3 linked regions of the Saccharomyces cerevisiae S288C genome follow. The protein of the gene in region 1 interacts with the protein of each later gene in a biochemical or structural test. Each region holds a gene or a part of one and is shown in the gene's direction. Other genes may lie near its edges. The genes, in order: SUI3, TIF5 and GCD6.

Region 1 (5,659 bases):
CTTTGCGTGTTTGTTTGTGCTTTTGTTTATAGGACTCTATTTTCTATCAGGTATGATTTCTTGAACTCTAATACAGCGGGAAGAAATGAGGAGGTCACAGATGTTAAGAATTGAAGGGATAAGCTGCATATTTATATGTTTTAGGGGGTGGCGGAAGGACCTGGTTGGTATTAAGATGAGAATTAACCGCTCATAAAACCATGCGCGTGTTTTTCTTCCACGGCGTTCTAGAAAAAAAAGAAAAATTCAAAAAGTTCTGCGAAACTCGAAAGAACCAGAATTGTTCGAACAATATGTGACAAGCGTATGAGTTAATAATCCGATTAAGCTTTATTCCTGTTCTTTTTTACGTGTATGTAAAACTGGTTTATGGATTACTGTGTTGAGAGAGGGGGGGTGACACCCTCCGGAATGTGATATATCACACGCTTGCACGTTGGTTCATATCGTAACCACGAAGAATACAAATACGCACACGCAAGCTAAGTTATATTTTAAAATATTCTGTCATCAAGCTTCCAAATACTTCTAACCATCTCTTATTCTCCTCTTAGTAGCCATTCTTTGCCACGAGGAATAAAAAGTCCCGCGCCACTAATTACAGGAAAAGAAAAATAGGACAATTCCATTTGATGTCACCGTGGTAATATCACCATGAACGATGATATGAAATTTTCATAGAATAAGAAGGAAAAGTAATAAAAGAAAAAGAGAATCTGAGAAAAAATCGATGAGTTAATTATCATTTGTGTAAAACAAAAACGAATTGTAATACGATAGGCAAAATTGTTCGCGCTCTATCTCAAAGAAAGTAATTATTTCCAAATAGAAAAAAAAAATCTACATATACGCAGATATGGGCCTACACAGTGAACCGTTAGATCAAGAGGACCAAGACACCATAATACTCGATGCAAGAGCTGGCGATTTGGATTCTCTGAAAGATATATTTACAACTTTAGTCAGTCCCGAGTTACTTTCGACTTGTAAGGAAAGTGAATCTGATTCTACGGCTTTACATATGGCTGCTGCCAACGGTCATATAGAGACCGTTCGGTATATACTGGAGACGGTTTCTCGCGCAAATAGTGCCGAAGACTTGAAAGCTTTTGTTAATGAGGTGAACAAAACAGGCAACACGGCTTTACATTGGGCGTCGTTGAATGGCAAATTAGACGTGGTCAAGCTACTGTGTGATGAATATGAGGCAGACCCCTTTATTAGAAACAAATTCGGCCACGATGCTATCTTTGAGGCCGAGAACAGCGGGAAGGAAGAAGTGGAAACATACTTTTTGAAGAAGTATGATGTCGAACCTGAAGATGATGAAGAAGACACACAAACTGAGGGCAAGAATTCGGTCCAAATCACAAAGGGTACAGAAATTGAACAAGTCACCAAGGAAGCCACCGAGGCTTTAAGAGAAGAAACCGAGAAACTGAATATAAATAAAGACTAAAGTAAAGAGCTTGTTTTCTTCGTGGAATAAAAGCCGTAATATCCATTGAGCATGATATTTTATTTCTTGGTACCGGAGAAGATAAAAGGATGGAACCAGCAGAAATGCATTAATAAATACAAAAAATTTAGAAAAGAGTTACAGTAATAATGTATATTTCTCTCACAAACTAAGTAACCGCTTCAAAAGCGTATATTTTGAATGCATTGAACTTTCCATTTCATTACCCGCAGAGCCGGAGTCCTCATCAACGACGGAGTGAAAAATTTTGTAATTGCGAGAAAAAGTGAAATTGATGGAAAAAAAGAAAAAGAAAGTAGAAGAAGACATTATAAGAGAGACTAGGAAACTTCTTGCACATCAACCGAAAAGCGCCTAGGCAACCAGTCATATAATAAGCACGCACGAGATGTCCTCCGATTTAGCTGCTGAGTTAGGATTCGACCCTGCACTAAAGAAGAAAAAGAAGACTAAGAAGGTGATCCCAGATGATTTTGATGCTGCCGTAAACGGCAAAGAAAATGGTTCAGGAGATGATTTATTTGCCGGATTAAAAAAGAAAAAGAAGAAGTCCAAGAGCGTTTCTGCCGATGCTGAAGCTGAAAAAGAGCCTACTGACGACATAGCAGAAGCCTTGGGTGAACTATCCTTGAAGAAGAAAAAGAAAAAGACAAAGGACAGCAGTGTAGACGCGTTTGAGAAAGAACTAGCTAAAGCTGGTCTAGATAATGTGGATGCTGAAAGCAAAGAAGGCACTCCAAGTGCTAATTCCAGCATTCAACAAGAAGTTGGCCTACCTTATTCAGAGTTATTATCTAGATTTTTCAATATTCTAAGAACTAACAATCCAGAACTTGCTGGTGATAGAAGTGGTCCAAAGTTCAGAATTCCTCCTCCTGTTTGTTTGCGTGATGGTAAGAAGACTATTTTCTCGAATATCCAAGATATCGCCGAAAAATTGCATAGATCTCCGGAACATTTGATTCAATATCTCTTCGCAGAATTAGGTACGTCCGGTTCTGTTGACGGTCAGAAAAGATTAGTCATTAAGGGTAAGTTTCAATCCAAACAAATGGAGAATGTCTTAAGAAGATACATTTTGGAGTATGTCACTTGTAAAACTTGTAAGAGTATTAACACCGAATTGAAGAGAGAACAGTCAAACAGACTGTTCTTTATGGTCTGTAAAAGTTGTGGTTCTACCAGATCCGTCTCTTCTATTAAAACCGGTTTCCAAGCTACCGTTGGTAAGAGAAGGAGAATGTGATGTTGGTGCTTTACCTGTTAGCATATATATAATAAATACGGATTTCGTTTATCTTGTGTATTTTATTCGTTTCATTAGATATTTAATGTTTAAATGAAGAAAAACTTAAAGTAAAAATTTTCATTCACAAAATAAATCTAAACAGCGGTAGGTAATCTTCATTGATCAGAGTGAACACATTGCATGGAGCCAGCCAATCATCGTGTCCTGTTTACTTCCCAAGGACAGGAAAAAGCTTTGAGAAGCAAAACCGATCAAGTGTCTAAATCTTGTAAAAGATTTAATAATTGGCTGGTAGTAGGCCTTTGTATAGGATCCACTTGAATGCATTTCTTGATTACACTCAAAAGCCCCTCAGAAAATCTGGAATTTCTCGGGAAACTGTACTTACCAGTGTTTATAGCGTAGGTTAAAGAAGCTCCATGTATCTGCTCTTCTCGCTCAAAGGGGGAGATACCGAACATTAAAGTATAGAACGTACAACCCAAAGACCAAATATCAACCTTAGAGCTCAAAACCTGATTTAATTTCAAGTTCAGAAGTTCTGGTGGAGTATATGGCAACGTACAATTGTCATTGACCCATTCTTGTAGTTCGCTGAGTTGATGTCTGTTTTCAATTGTTATATCAGCTTGAGAGCAGGAGCCGAGGTCACCAATTACTGGTAAACCGTCTGAAGAGAACAAAATGTTTGAAGGTGTAATATCGCGATGTGCATATGCTATTGAACCTGCTGAGTTGGAGGAAAGCATGTCCATCTCTAAGGGGGTGTCTTCTAGGAGCATCGCCGTTTCATCGCTATAAGTCATAGAAACCGCATCGACATTTACTCTGGAAGTAGCGTTATCTTGTCTTGACGCAGGATCATGTAAACAAAGTAAACCTCTTGTAACTCCAAGCATTATCCTTACGCATTCTGCCTCTGATACAAAGGTGCCCTCGAGTAACCTCCGATTAATAGAGTCTTGTAAACTCCCTAATGAATAATAGGGTAGTACTATGTAAATTGTTTTTGACCCATCTTTTTCCTGCATTACTTGTGAGTCGATACTTTTTATAACATAAGGACTTTGAAACCGTTTGTAATTTTCAATTTCTCGCATACCATTGGATATACTTTCCACACTAGGACAAATAATCTTCTTTAGTGCGTATAATTCTGGTGTTGCGATGCCGTTGTCTATAATCAGAGAATTCTTTGACAGTTGTACCAAATACACAAAGGACATTCCACCTTCTCCAAGTAGTCGTTGAATCCTATATCGTTTATCATTTACCCTAATAGTAGCATCGGAAAATCCGCGACAGCAGCACAAGTTCTGGAACAATTCCAATACAATAGAAATCATTGATCGGATAAGATGGTACAATCGTTATTTTATCCCTAGTCAGTCGCTGAGATTACAGGCTCTTTTTGTCTACTCTCTGTTTCGTCTTTTTGGAGAAAGTATGGTTCAACATCTTACAAAACCAGATACCGAAAATGTCCCTAACTCGGTGTCATAAGACAGGACTTATCAAAACAGAAAGGATCTTGCAAAAAAGAAAAAGAGCAAATTATGTAAACTTTGGGGGTCAACACAGTTGTATCAGTCGTATTGGTTAGACCCAATATAGCGGTTTTCTTTACTTCTTTGTTTCTACACTTATTAAAGTCTATTTAACTCCCTTTCACGTGATCAGTTTGAAAGAAACGTGAAAATTATTTTTTTCAGCGAACTTTTTGAAGGTTTTCAATAGAAGATGAAAGCTAAATGAAGACTGTACATTCACACGGGAAACGAGAGAAAGAAGTTCAGTTAGTTGAAGCCAGCAATACTACTTTCTCTAGCAGTCTAGCACAAGTTACTTTGAAAGGAAATAAAAAAAATTGTCAGCATGTCGATTCAAACTAGTGATCCAAATGAAACATCAGATTTAAAGTCGTTATCTTTAATTGCTGCCCACTCCCATATTACAGGTTTAGGTCTAGATGAAAACTTGCAACCACGTCCCACATCCGAAGGTATGGTTGGGCAATTGCAAGCCCGTCGTGCTGCTGGTGTGATATTGAAAATGGTTCAAAATGGCACCATAGCAGGTAGGGCTGTTTTGGTAGCGGGCCCCCCTTCAACTGGTAAGACCGCTCTTGCCATGGGTGTTTCCCAGTCTCTGGGTAAAGATGTACCATTCACTGCTATTGCGGGCTCAGAAATCTTTTCTTTAGAATTGAGTAAAACTGAAGCACTAACTCAAGCTTTTAGGAAATCCATCGGTATCAAAATCAAGGAGGAGACAGAATTGATTGAAGGTGAAGTCGTGGAAATTCAAATTGATAGATCTATTACTGGTGGACACAAACAAGGAAAATTGACTATTAAAACTACCGATATGGAAACAATTTATGAATTAGGCAATAAAATGATTGATGGCCTAACTAAAGAAAAGGTATTGGCTGGCGATGTTATTTCTATTGATAAAGCTAGTGGGAAGATTACCAAGCTAGGCAGATCCTTTGCTAGATCTAGGGATTATGATGCCATGGGTGCTGATACCAGATTTGTTCAATGTCCGGAAGGCGAACTGCAAAAAAGGAAAACAGTGGTTCACACGGTGTCACTGCATGAAATTGATGTTATTAATTCAAGAACACAAGGATTTTTGGCATTATTTACTGGTGACACCGGTGAAATTAGGTCAGAGGTAAGAGACCAGATAAACACAAAAGTGGCAGAATGGAAAGAAGAAGGTAAAGCAGAAATTGTTCCTGGTGTATTATTTATCGACGAAGTCCACATGTTGGATATAGAATGTTTTTCCTTTATAAATAGGGCTTTGGAAGATGAGTTTGCCCCAATCGTCATGATGGCTACAAATAGAGGAGTTTCCAAAACCAGAGGGACTAATTACAAATCTCCACATGGGTTACCTCTCGATCTTTTGGATAGGTCAAT
Region 2 (4,704 bases), 550 kb from region 1:
GGTCCGCGGAAGGTGGGTGTGGCTGTCCCCGCGCAAATCCGAGATCGATTCCGCGGCGGGTCGGTCATTCTTTTCATTTGCGCGCTAATATGCGCTGTGACTGGCGGTTAGTCATCTGCGTGATCAATCGTTGTCATGACGCTCTATAACGTAAGAGAACTTTAGAGGGGGCTCAATTAGCATGAAGAACAGACACATATATAAGGTCTCTAGATTTCTCCAATAGCTCAACTCTCACAATTGTTTCCTCTAGTCCTTGTAAAATATAAAAAATCATCATCAAACAAGCAACTACAAAACAGCTTTACTGACAACTCACACAAATAACACAAAAAACAAAAATTTCAACAATGGTCGCCTTTTTAGAACTAACTTCTGACGTTTCTCAACCTTTTGTCATCCCATCTCTTTCGCCAGTCTCTCAGCCAAGCTCAAGAAAGAACTCTGACGCAAACGTCGATGACCTGAATCTGGCTATTGCCAATGCCGCTCTTTTGGATGCCTCTGCTTCAAGCCGCTCACACTCCAGAAAAAACTCTTTGTCTCTGTTGTAAGTGTTGTACACGAGAATTAGCACACTATTAGCATAAAAGACACTTGGCATCTTTACTTACTTGGGCAAGTAAGTCACGTACTTTTTTTTTTTTTTCCGGAGCATTCATTGTCATTCTATCTGCACTTTCCCGCACTTACATTCAATAACCTCGGATCGGGTCTCTTCTACGACAGAAACTTTTTGATATATACATATTTATGTAATATAAATACTGAGAAAGTAAAAAAATTTAAAATATAAAATAATAAAAAATTTACTATTACTATAATTGATTAATGTAATCTTTCTTTGTTCAACCGTGCTGTTTAGCCTCCTTCTCGAGAGACACGCGTTTACCGTCGCTGTCACTACATCCACAATCGTAGTCCTCCAGGATGGTAGCACAGTCATATATGTCTTTCTTTAGGTATTCGTTCACCTTGTTGTGAATGTGGCATCCCCACATTGCGGCAGCCGTCCTGCTAGATGTCTGTACGGGATACTTCTCAATCAACTTTACAAAGTGATATGAACATTCCCCGCATGGATAGAGTTCTGCATACAACCCAATAAACGTGTGCAGTTTCTCTCTTTCTTCAGGAGTAGGCTCGTCCGGAAAACGGGCCAGCAGGGTATGGAAGTACTTCCACGACGCCCTGCCCACTTCCTTCTTCACCTTGTCATCGCCCATCAATGGCATAATGGTTTGCTTCTCGATCTCTTTCAACCGAGCGTCGTTCTTCTCAGCAGCCGCCCCTTGCACTTCATCTATACCAGACTTCGCCTTGATTAGGCCCGGCGTAGCGATGGATAGTTCATTAGACGAGAAAAACATCCACAGGCCTATGATTCCTAATGCTGCAACTATTCTGATGGCATGGCTTCTTTTGACTATCTGTTTCATCCCTTCGTTCCTTGCACAATCTGTCCAGACTTTCCTCTTTACAAATCACCAGCCTTCCCGTCTTCTTGTCTTCATCACCCACGTTTATTGTTTAATGATAAAGCCTTTTGTCCTTTATTTTTGGTTCCTTTTCCCGCTTCGTTTACCCGGTGGTTAACCTTTCTCTTCCATCTTGTAATATATAATAACAAAATGCATCACCATACTTACGCACCCCATATACATGACCTAAGGGCAGCTTTAGACACAACAGCTCCCCAGAAAAAATGTCCAAAAGAAACACTCCACCGCTCAGATCATCAGGGATAAACACTATTCAAATAAATGCTGCTAGAGAAATGCACGCTCAAACGGTGCGCGCTCGAAGAATGCCCATGCCAACTAGCGGCATCACTACACCCTCTGTGCAACCAACTGCAGCCCCAGCAACACCACCTCGACATATTTGCAATAACCCAAACAATCCGCAGTGTCTCCACTGTGGGTCTGTTATCATTCCATCTCCAAGGGCCACGTTACCCTTGGAGGACAACCCCTCCATCTCCATCAACGACTGGACCATCTCCTCCAGAAAGAAGCCCATTTTGAACTCGCAGGAATTAGACATCTGGGAAAACGAAAAACTCAAAGGTTTGACTTTGCCAGAGATGATTTTTGGTAACAACTACATCAGGATCGAAAATTCAAAACAGCATTGGTCCATAGAGTTCAATGCCCTGGATGCTTTAAAGGAGGTTCAACTCCAGGATTCAGGTATTCGTGTTGCGTACTCAAACGACTGGATAAATTCTAAAAAAAGACAAAATTCAACTAATGGTGCGCAACGGTTCACTAACGATGTGAACGACGATTCCTTAAATATCATACACAAGTACGACTGGACCTACACTACGCGGTATAAGGGCACAGAGAGCTCACCTGAGTCGAAATTCCGACTGGATAACGATCAAAAGCTGCCCCTTGACAAACTGGCCGTACACGATAAAATCCTATTCTATGACGACATGATTCTTTTCGAAGACGAATTGGCAGACAATGGCATATCAATCCTTAACGTCAAAATAAGAGTTATGAACGAAAGGTTACTGCTGCTGAGCCGGTTCTTTTTAAGGGTGGACGATGTTCTGGTGAGGGTCTACGACACCAGGATTTACGTGGAGTTTGACGAAAACGTAGTGATCAGAGAATCCAAGGAATTTGAAGGTAAATATCAGGATGTACTTGCTAAGCACCGGCTATCCCAATCTCACGACCCAAAAGCTGCCTTGAGAGATAGTAATTGGGTAGCACAGAACACGCCGATGATCAAAAGACAATGTGAAATAATTCAGTTCTAACAATCAAATATACAAAACAATACGTACAAATACATACACGTCACATATACATAAGCTCCGGATACATCATACAAGAAATGATCTTAAAATCATGCTCTTACCCGTTCTGTAAATAGTGAAAAATTTTCATCGCGAAGTATGAACGAAAAAAAAAAAAGAAAATAGATGAACTTTTAGCATTTAATTAGTGGCAAACGCCTACCCCTCCTTCCCACTTTGCTGACTTACAAAGACACCACTACATTAAAGAGTATCTCGTGTGTTCTTCTTTTTTTTCCAAAAAAAAAAACTCCTATTATTTGCATAAACACACGTTCACTGGTACAAGATGTCTATTAATATTTGTAGAGATAATCATGATCCATTTTACCGTTACAAAATGCCTCCCATCCAAGCCAAGGTGGAAGGTAGAGGTAACGGTATCAAGACTGCCGTTTTGAACGTCGCTGACATCTCTCACGCGCTAAATAGACCTGCTCCATATATTGTCAAGTATTTTGGTTTCGAATTAGGTGCTCAAACTTCCATCTCTGTTGACAAAGATCGTTATTTAGTTAATGGTGTTCACGAACCTGCCAAATTGCAAGACGTATTGGATGGCTTTATTAACAAGTTTGTTCTCTGTGGAAGCTGTAAAAATCCAGAAACGGAGATCATCATTACCAAAGATAATGATTTGGTTCGAGACTGTAAAGCCTGTGGTAAGAGAACTCCAATGGACTTGAGACATAAACTATCATCCTTCATTTTGAAAAACCCACCTGACTCCGTTTCTGGTTCCAAGAAGAAGAAGAAAGCAGCTACCGCTTCGGCCAATGTTCGTGGTGGTGGGTTGTCCATTAGTGATATTGCTCAAGGTAAGTCTCAGAATGCACCTTCAGATGGCACCGGCTCATCCACTCCACAACATCATGACGAAGACGAAGATGAATTATCTCGTCAAATCAAGGCGGCTGCCTCTACCTTAGAAGATATCGAGGTCAAAGATGACGAATGGGCGGTTGATATGTCTGAAGAAGCCATTAGAGCTCGTGCCAAGGAACTAGAAGTGAACTCTGAGCTCACTCAACTGGATGAATATGGTGAATGGATTTTGGAGCAGGCTGGTGAAGATAAGGAGAACTTACCATCAGATGTGGAGCTTTATAAGAAGGCTGCAGAACTAGACGTCTTGAATGATCCAAAAATTGGTTGTGTCTTGGCGCAATGTCTATTCGATGAGGATATCGTAAACGAAATCGCTGAACATAATGCATTTTTCACTAAAATTTTAGTCACTCCAGAATACGAAAAGAACTTTATGGGTGGTATTGAAAGATTTTTAGGTTTAGAACATAAGGATCTAATCCCACTATTACCAAAAATTTTGGTACAACTATACAATAATGATATCATCTCGGAAGAAGAAATCATGAGATTTGGTACCAAATCATCCAAGAAATTTGTACCTAAGGAGGTATCCAAAAAGGTTCGTAGGGCTGCTAAGCCATTCATTACGTGGTTAGAAACCGCTGAAAGTGACGATGATGAAGAAGACGACGAATAGCTTAGGAGGGGGCAAAAGACTTATGTGTAAATTATTATATGACATGGCGTAAGATAAGGATTATGTTCTGTTGTTTTTGAGCTCGTTGATGTATAGATATGTAAATATTTATAAATATAATATTTCTTCCAAGTGCGACATACTTGGTACTGGCAAAAAACAAAGATGAGACTTTTAAAGCCACTGATTGATTGATTAATTATTAAGTAAAAAAAAAAAAATAAAATGTCGGTGTAATTTGGCTCCACGATCGCATGCGTATACATAACATGAGATTACCGAAGATTTTTCTGAAAGGTAATGCATTATATTATAATCATTAATAGAAGTAGAGCCTAAAGCCTGTTGAAAACTTGTACAATAGAGGAAAAAAAAAGGGTCA
Region 3 (6,740 bases), on another chromosome or scaffold:
TTGAGTGTTGTTATGATTTTCTTATTTGCATTTAAGTCTTTGCTGAACAATATCATATCATCAACGAATAAGCAAATTGTTACTTGACTATTCTTAAATACGCATGACCATCCACGAACTTCTTCCATACCACACTGTTTTATCAGGTATGATTTGATAGTTTCGTACCAGTTCGCTCCACTTTGTTTCAATCCATAAAGTGATTTCTTCAAACGTATCAACTTATCATTCATTCCTAAATGTGGTGGAGGTCTTATGTATAATTCTTCTTTGATGTCTGCATACAAATATGCCGAAGATATGTCTAATTGTGTAATATAGTAGTTATTGTCTAATGCAAGTGACAGGGATGTCATCAACGCATAATGATGTACAGTGTTGGATTGCATACCTGTATCGTACGTATCAGGATGCTGAATGTCACCTCTTGCAACAAATCTAGCTTTATGAGTTCCGTCACGTTTCTTGTTGAAGATAAACATTGAGTTTATTACTCTTTTAGGGTCTATTTCTTTTCTGTCATAATATTTGTCAGTGTCCCAAGTATTCATTTTCAATAGTTGGTTGACTTCTTTGTGGTATGCTTCGATATATTTTTCCTTTTCTTTAATATCTTTATTATAGGTGATTGCCTCATCGTATCTTAAAGTTGTCCGTATTGGTTTGATTGATTTTACTGCTTTTACAGCTGCAATCAGGTGAATTCGTTTCTTCGATCTCGGAGGTTCTAAACTACGCATATTCTTAGTATTCCATGTGTCTCGTGATACCTTAATTTCAGTTTCATTATCTTCTAATGATCTTTTCTTACTGTTGATAGTAGTATAGGCATTAGAGTCACCAATACCACCCAAACTGGAATTAGTTTGATGAGAATTTATCGGTGGGAGTTCTTTAAATGGGTCAGGGAATTCGGTAGGAGATTCTGGAGGTAGATCAGGGAGTGGGAGATCAGCGATGATAGATTCCTCGGTATTCTGTTCAGAAACAGTAGTTGGCGTTTTGATAGGAACAATATTGTGCGATGAATTATTTTCCGGTGGAGAAGCATCGATTGAAGGTGAACGGTGTATAATCCTTTTCTCAGTCTCTTGGTCACTTATCTGCGGAACAGTTTTGTTGTTGGTACCACCCGTACTGGATATTGGTACGTTTGTATGATTAGTCTCATTTTCACTGTACGAGTCTGAGTGTCTGAAATCTTTAGATTTACTGGCGTACGACGACTCATGTGTGTTAGATTGGGACATGGGAGCAAGTAAAGGAACATCTAATCTATGCATACCACCCGAATCGGTACTCTCGATATCGGAAATTTGGGGGGTGCTAGATCTCTTCTTAGATGGAAGAATATTAGATTCAGATATGTTGGGGTCAACTTCTCTGGGTGCGCGAATATTGGTTTTAGAAACACGTTTCGAATCTTCAGTATGAGTTGACGGGGGTGTGGAATCGGTTGGACTCACAGCTTTTGAAAGGACATTTCTCGGTTGCTCAGGATATAGTTCAATATCAGATTGAAAGTCATGGTCTGATTCTATGTTAAGATCATTGGATTGTTGGATCTCATTTGACGCAATGAACGATTGATATGAAGCAGTTAAACGGTTTAAGTCTTCATCGAAAGTGAGTGCGTCGTAATTGAATTGATCTAATCTGGAGTCCTTGCCCTGAAGAATAACATAGTTAGTTGTATCTACTGTCTTCTTTAAGGATGGAAGATAGATGATATATCCATAAGAGTTTCGAGACGGATGTAGAGCGTAGCCTGGGATGCCACGAGGATGTATTTTGGAGTTAGGGTTGTGATCATTGACGATAACAGGTTGACCGAAAGGTAACAAAGTACTGATATCAAGTCCTGCCAAGCCAGCATGTTGTCTTGCAGATTTTTTGCTTTTAGGTGAAGCTAGTGAATTTCTCACAATAGTAGAAAATTCGATTGCAGAGAACCATAAATGGTTCGGTAAACCACTACATTGCAGTTGAGTACGGCAGTCATCTAATAAGGTACGGTTTAGCCGTTCAGCGACTCCATGTGCTCGGGAATCCGCTGTGGTTGTATAGCATGGAGTTATACCATTTTTTTCAAGGAATTTATGGAGAGTTCTGTTAGTATACTCAGAACCACGGTCCATTTGTATAACCAAGACACTGGCCTGAAACTGGTTTTTAATAAAAGCTAGTATCGTAGTAAAAACATCGAGGATAGAGTCCTCGCGACGGTCGTGTAATGGATAAACCCAACGGAATTTTGTTGTCTCATCAGTAAATGAGATGAAATAGGATGGTGCACTATTTGGTAGGTTGTGAACTGGACCAAATATGTCAGTATGTAGGTATTGAAAGGGTTCGTATGAATTTTGGTATTTTAGTCGTGAACCTTTGATATGTCTGTGTTTGGTGCTTTTGCCGATTAAACAATCAGGACATTGATAGTCAATAGCACTAGACCAGTCGACATCTGATTCGTTAAAATACGTGATGGTGTTATTTTTAAGTGAGTATCGAATTGTCTGTGCATTGGCATGCGCAAGCATTCGATGAATGAAAGGATAAGGATATTTGCGTGTACTTTCACTTGTATGGACATTATTGATGGTGGGTACGGAGATATTTGATGGAAGCAAGTACTTTTTAGATACCCAGTAAAAGTCTCCATATTTTACGATAGGTGCAAGTACAGTGCCGTCAGATCGTTCTAAGACGTTTTTGGTAAAGCATGCTGTGATATCTACTGCAGCCAATTCATTCAAACTGAGTAAGTCATAGGCTATGTTAGGAGTGTGCAATACCTTTATTGATGTTTTGGTGTTGTCCTGGAAGTGAAATTGTAGGTCACCAATAGCGTTAATTGGTATATTTCTTTTTTGAGCATCAACTACGTTTATGTCAGGATTAGATGATGCTGAGTGTATGTGATGAGCAGATCTTATAAGGGTTCGTGATGCTCCTGAATCGAGAAGGAGGTGTCCAGGGAGTTCATCATCAGAATGATTAGTATGATTTACTGTAGATTCAGTAAGTTTCTGGCCTAAGATGAAGGTCGTGCTTATTGTTCAATTGAATCGGTTCAGTAGTTGATTTACTGATGGAATCGTTGTCCGTGCTGGGAGAGTTAATAGATGTGGATACATTGTGAGCCCTGGCTGTTTTCGATTTCGAATTATTTGTTTTTTGAGGATTCCGAGCTATAACTTTGGGTTTGGTTGTATTCGTATAGCTGCGAGAATCATTCTTCTCATCACTCCGATTTCTCCTGTAATTAGGTTTGCTGTTTCTCGATCCCTGTTGTTCTTCATAAATAGCATGGATATCTAAGAACAGTTCAGCGACTGTCATATTTAGATGTCGATGACGTGTGTAGCGTAAAAATTTATATTCGCCAGATAGACCTCTCATAATTAATTGGCATGCGACCTTGTTATTGATATGAATGCCATTATTGTTCAGTCTGTCGATAATGTTTGTGACTTTTGTTTCAAATGCATCTGCAGGTGTACTGCCATTATATTGCAAATTTGCCAGGGTCACAATGTCGTTTGCCTCTTGGGTATCAGATTGCATTTTTTCAATACTTTTGGAAAGAATTTTCATGATATCCGTATAATCAACGGATAGGATGTCTTTGACCCAGGTAGGTAGGAATTGAGAGGGAGCAAATATTTGAAAAGTGTTATACAAGAAGGTGAGTTCATCATCAGTGATCTGACGTACGGGTTTTCCGTTTACTGTCGGAATAATACCACCGAGATTCGAGTTTTGTAAAAATTTGATGTATGTTTTAACCCAATTTGGAAAGTCATTAGGTGAGGTTAACATTGGTGGTGGTCTGACATATTTTTTAGTGGATGTCATATCAGAGTCCGCTGAGGATGAATCAGTAAATGTATTACCTGACTCAGGTGATGGAGTGCTCAGAGGCGTTCCAACTGATGATGGATACTGCGGAAACTGTGATTGTGGCCCAGGTGGAAAGTACATAGGCGACATTTGATAAGGTGTATACGGAATCATAGATGGGTGTCCGTAAAATGACCAACCAGATGGATTGGCTTGGTTTTGGGTCATCATGCACTGCTGTGGGTACGGCCCATTCTGTGGAGGTGGTACTGAAGCAGGTTGAGGAGAGGCATGATGGGGGTTCTCTGGAACAGCTGATGAAGCAGGTGTTGTTGTCTGTTGAGAGTTAGCCTTAGTGGAAGCCTTATCATATTCTTGAATTTTGGAAGCTGAAACGTCTAACGGATCTTGATTTGTGTGGACTTCCTTAGAAGTAACCGAAGCACAGGCGCTACCATGAGATATATGTGGGTAATTAGATAATTGTTGGGATTCCATTGTTGATAAAGGCTATAATATTAGGTATACAGAATATACTAGAAGTTCTCCTCGAGGATTTAGGAATCCATAAAAGGGAATCTGCAATTCTACACAATTCTATAAATATTATTATCATCGTTTTATATGTTAATATTCATTGATCCTATTACATTATCAATCCTTGCGTTTCAGCTTCCACTAATTTAGATGACTATTTCTCATCATTTGCGTCATCTTCTAACACCGTATATGATAATATACTAGTAACGTAAATACTAGTTAGTAGATGATAGTTGATTTTTATTCCAACAATGGCCTCTTTAACACTAATATCCCGACAATTTTCCCAAAATTCAAAGAATTCTCAGAAAGAGCTATTTTTTTTTTTAATAAAATTATTAGTACTAATTCCAGTATAAATAACAATGTTATTTACGTCTCTTTCGAAAATGCTCGTGTAGCTCAGTGGTTAGAGCTTCGTGCTTATAGCAACATTCGGTTTCCGAAGTTTCTGTGCCAAAGACCTTTCAAACAGGCCTTTAAAAGCAACGCGACCGTCGTGGGTTCAAACCCCACCTCGAGCACTTTCTCTTTTTTTTTCACACGCGTTTGCAACATGCCCGTATTACATGAGCTTATTTGACTTTAGATGGTTTTCAGTTCTTTTTTTTTTTTTTTTTTTTTTCAGTAGATTAATGCGAAGAGTTAAATCACCAATTCAAAGATGGCAGATGGACCACCTTGTGGGATAAGTATAAAAATAACTAAAAGTGGTCTTGTGTTAAAAATAGAATAGAAACCACTCATAAGGCAAAAGATGGCTGGAAAAAAGGGACAAAAGAAAAGTGGACTAGGCAACCATGGAAAGAACTCTGATATGGATGTTGAAGATCGTCTCCAGGCCGTTGTCTTGACAGACTCTTATGAAACTAGGTTTATGCCACTGACAGCTGTCAAGCCAAGGTGTTTGCTGCCACTGGCTAACGTACCTCTCATTGAATACACCTTAGAATTTTTGGCTAAGGCTGGCGTACATGAAGTTTTCTTAATTTGCTCTTCTCATGCCAACCAAATTAATGACTATATTGAGAATTCTAAGTGGAACTTGCCTTGGTCTCCATTTAAAATTACCACCATTATGTCTCCAGAAGCTAGATGTACGGGTGATGTTATGAGAGATCTAGATAATAGAGGTATCATTACTGGAGATTTTATTTTAGTCAGTGGTGATGTATTGACTAACATCGATTTCAGCAAAATGCTAGAATTTCACAAAAAAATGCATTTGCAAGATAAAGATCACATCTCGACAATGTGTTTGAGCAAAGCGAGTACCTATCCAAAAACAAGAACTATTGAGCCTGCCGCATTTGTCTTAGACAAATCCACCAGTAGGTGTATTTATTACCAAGATTTACCATTACCAAGCTCTAGAGAGAAGACTTCCATTCAGATTGACCCAGAATTGTTGGATAATGTCGATGAATTTGTCATAAGGAATGACCTCATCGATTGTAGAATTGACATTTGTACATCTCATGTACCTTTGATATTTCAAGAAAATTTTGACTACCAATCATTAAGGACAGACTTTGTTAAAGGTGTCATTTCAAGCGATATATTGGGAAAGCATATATATGCCTATTTGACGGACGAATATGCTGTAAGAGTTGAAAGTTGGCAAACTTACGACACCATTTCTCAAGACTTTTTAGGTAGATGGTGTTATCCCTTGGTCTTAGACTCTAACATACAGGACGATCAAACGTATTCTTATGAATCAAGACATATATACAAGGAAAAAGACGTTGTTTTGGCCCAATCCTGTAAAATTGGTAAGTGCACTGCAATTGGATCAGGAACAAAAATCGGAGAGGGTACGAAAATTGAGAATTCCGTGATTGGAAGGAACTGCCAAATCGGTGAAAATATTAGAATCAAGAACAGTTTCATTTGGGATGACTGTATCATCGGAAATAACAGTATAATTGACCATTCATTAATTGCCTCTAATGCCACGTTAGGGAGTAATGTACGCCTAAATGATGGCTGTATAATTGGTTTCAACGTTAAAATTGATGATAATATGGATTTAGATAGAAACACAAAAATATCTGCCAGTCCATTAAAAAATGCCGGCTCAAGAATGTATGATAATGAAAGCAATGAGCAGTTTGACCAAGACCTTGATGATCAGACACTAGCCGTTTCTATTGTTGGAGATAAGGGTGTTGGTTATATTTACGAAAGCGAGGTGTCTGACGATGAAGATAGTTCTACAGAAGCCTGCAAAGAAATAAACACTTTGAGTAACCAATTAGATGAGTTATACTTAAGTGACGATTCAATTTCTTCCGCCACTAAAAAGACAAAGAAAAGAAGAACGATGTCTGTCAATAGTATATACACGGATAGAG

What was found.
Region 2: the proteins of SUI3 (region 1) and TIF5 form a complex in vitro, tested with the Saccharomyces cerevisiae proteins (6 studies listed by BioGRID, with this or other methods).
Region 3: the proteins of SUI3 (region 1) and GCD6 form a complex in vitro, tested with the Saccharomyces cerevisiae proteins (4 studies listed by BioGRID).

The regions. Positions count from the first base shown.
Region 1 is NC_001148.4:98,628-104,286, forward strand, and holds SUI3 (translation initiation factor eIF2 subunit beta), read left to right. Parts: upstream 1-1,868; coding exon 1,869-2,726; downstream 2,727-5,659. Other genes in the region: YAR1 (Yar1p), read left to right, coding at 857-1,459; putative serine/threonine protein kinase ENV7, read right to left, coding at 2,981-4,075; RVB2 (RuvB family ATP-dependent DNA helicase reptin), read left to right, coding at 4,605-5,659. UniProt on the Saccharomyces cerevisiae protein: Component of the eIF2 complex that functions in the early steps of protein synthesis by forming a ternary complex with GTP and initiator tRNA.
Region 2 is NC_001148.4:645,600-650,303, forward strand, and holds TIF5 (translation initiation factor eIF5), read left to right. Parts: upstream 1-3,104; coding exon 3,105-4,322; downstream 4,323-4,704. Other genes in the region: SPO24 (Spo24p), read left to right, coding at 351-554; ERV2 (flavin-linked sulfhydryl oxidase), read right to left, coding at 849-1,439; IRC16 (Irc16p), read left to right, coding at 1,237-1,596; TIP41 (Tip41p), read left to right, coding at 1,706-2,776. UniProt on the Saccharomyces cerevisiae protein: Catalyzes the hydrolysis of GTP bound to the 40S ribosomal initiation complex (40S.mRNA.Met-tRNA[F].eIF-2.GTP) with the subsequent joining of a 60S ribosomal subunit resulting in the release of eIF-2 and the guanine nucleotide.
Region 3 is NC_001136.10:879,587-886,326, forward strand, and holds the start of GCD6 (translation initiation factor eIF2B catalytic subunit epsilon), read left to right. Parts: upstream 1-5,140; coding exon 5,141-6,740. Other genes in the region: YDR210C-C (gag protein), read right to left, coding at 3,019-4,341. UniProt on the Saccharomyces cerevisiae protein: Acts as a catalytic component of the translation initiation factor 2B (eIF2B) complex, which catalyzes the exchange of GDP for GTP on eukaryotic initiation factor 2 (eIF2) and is regulated by phosphorylated eIF2.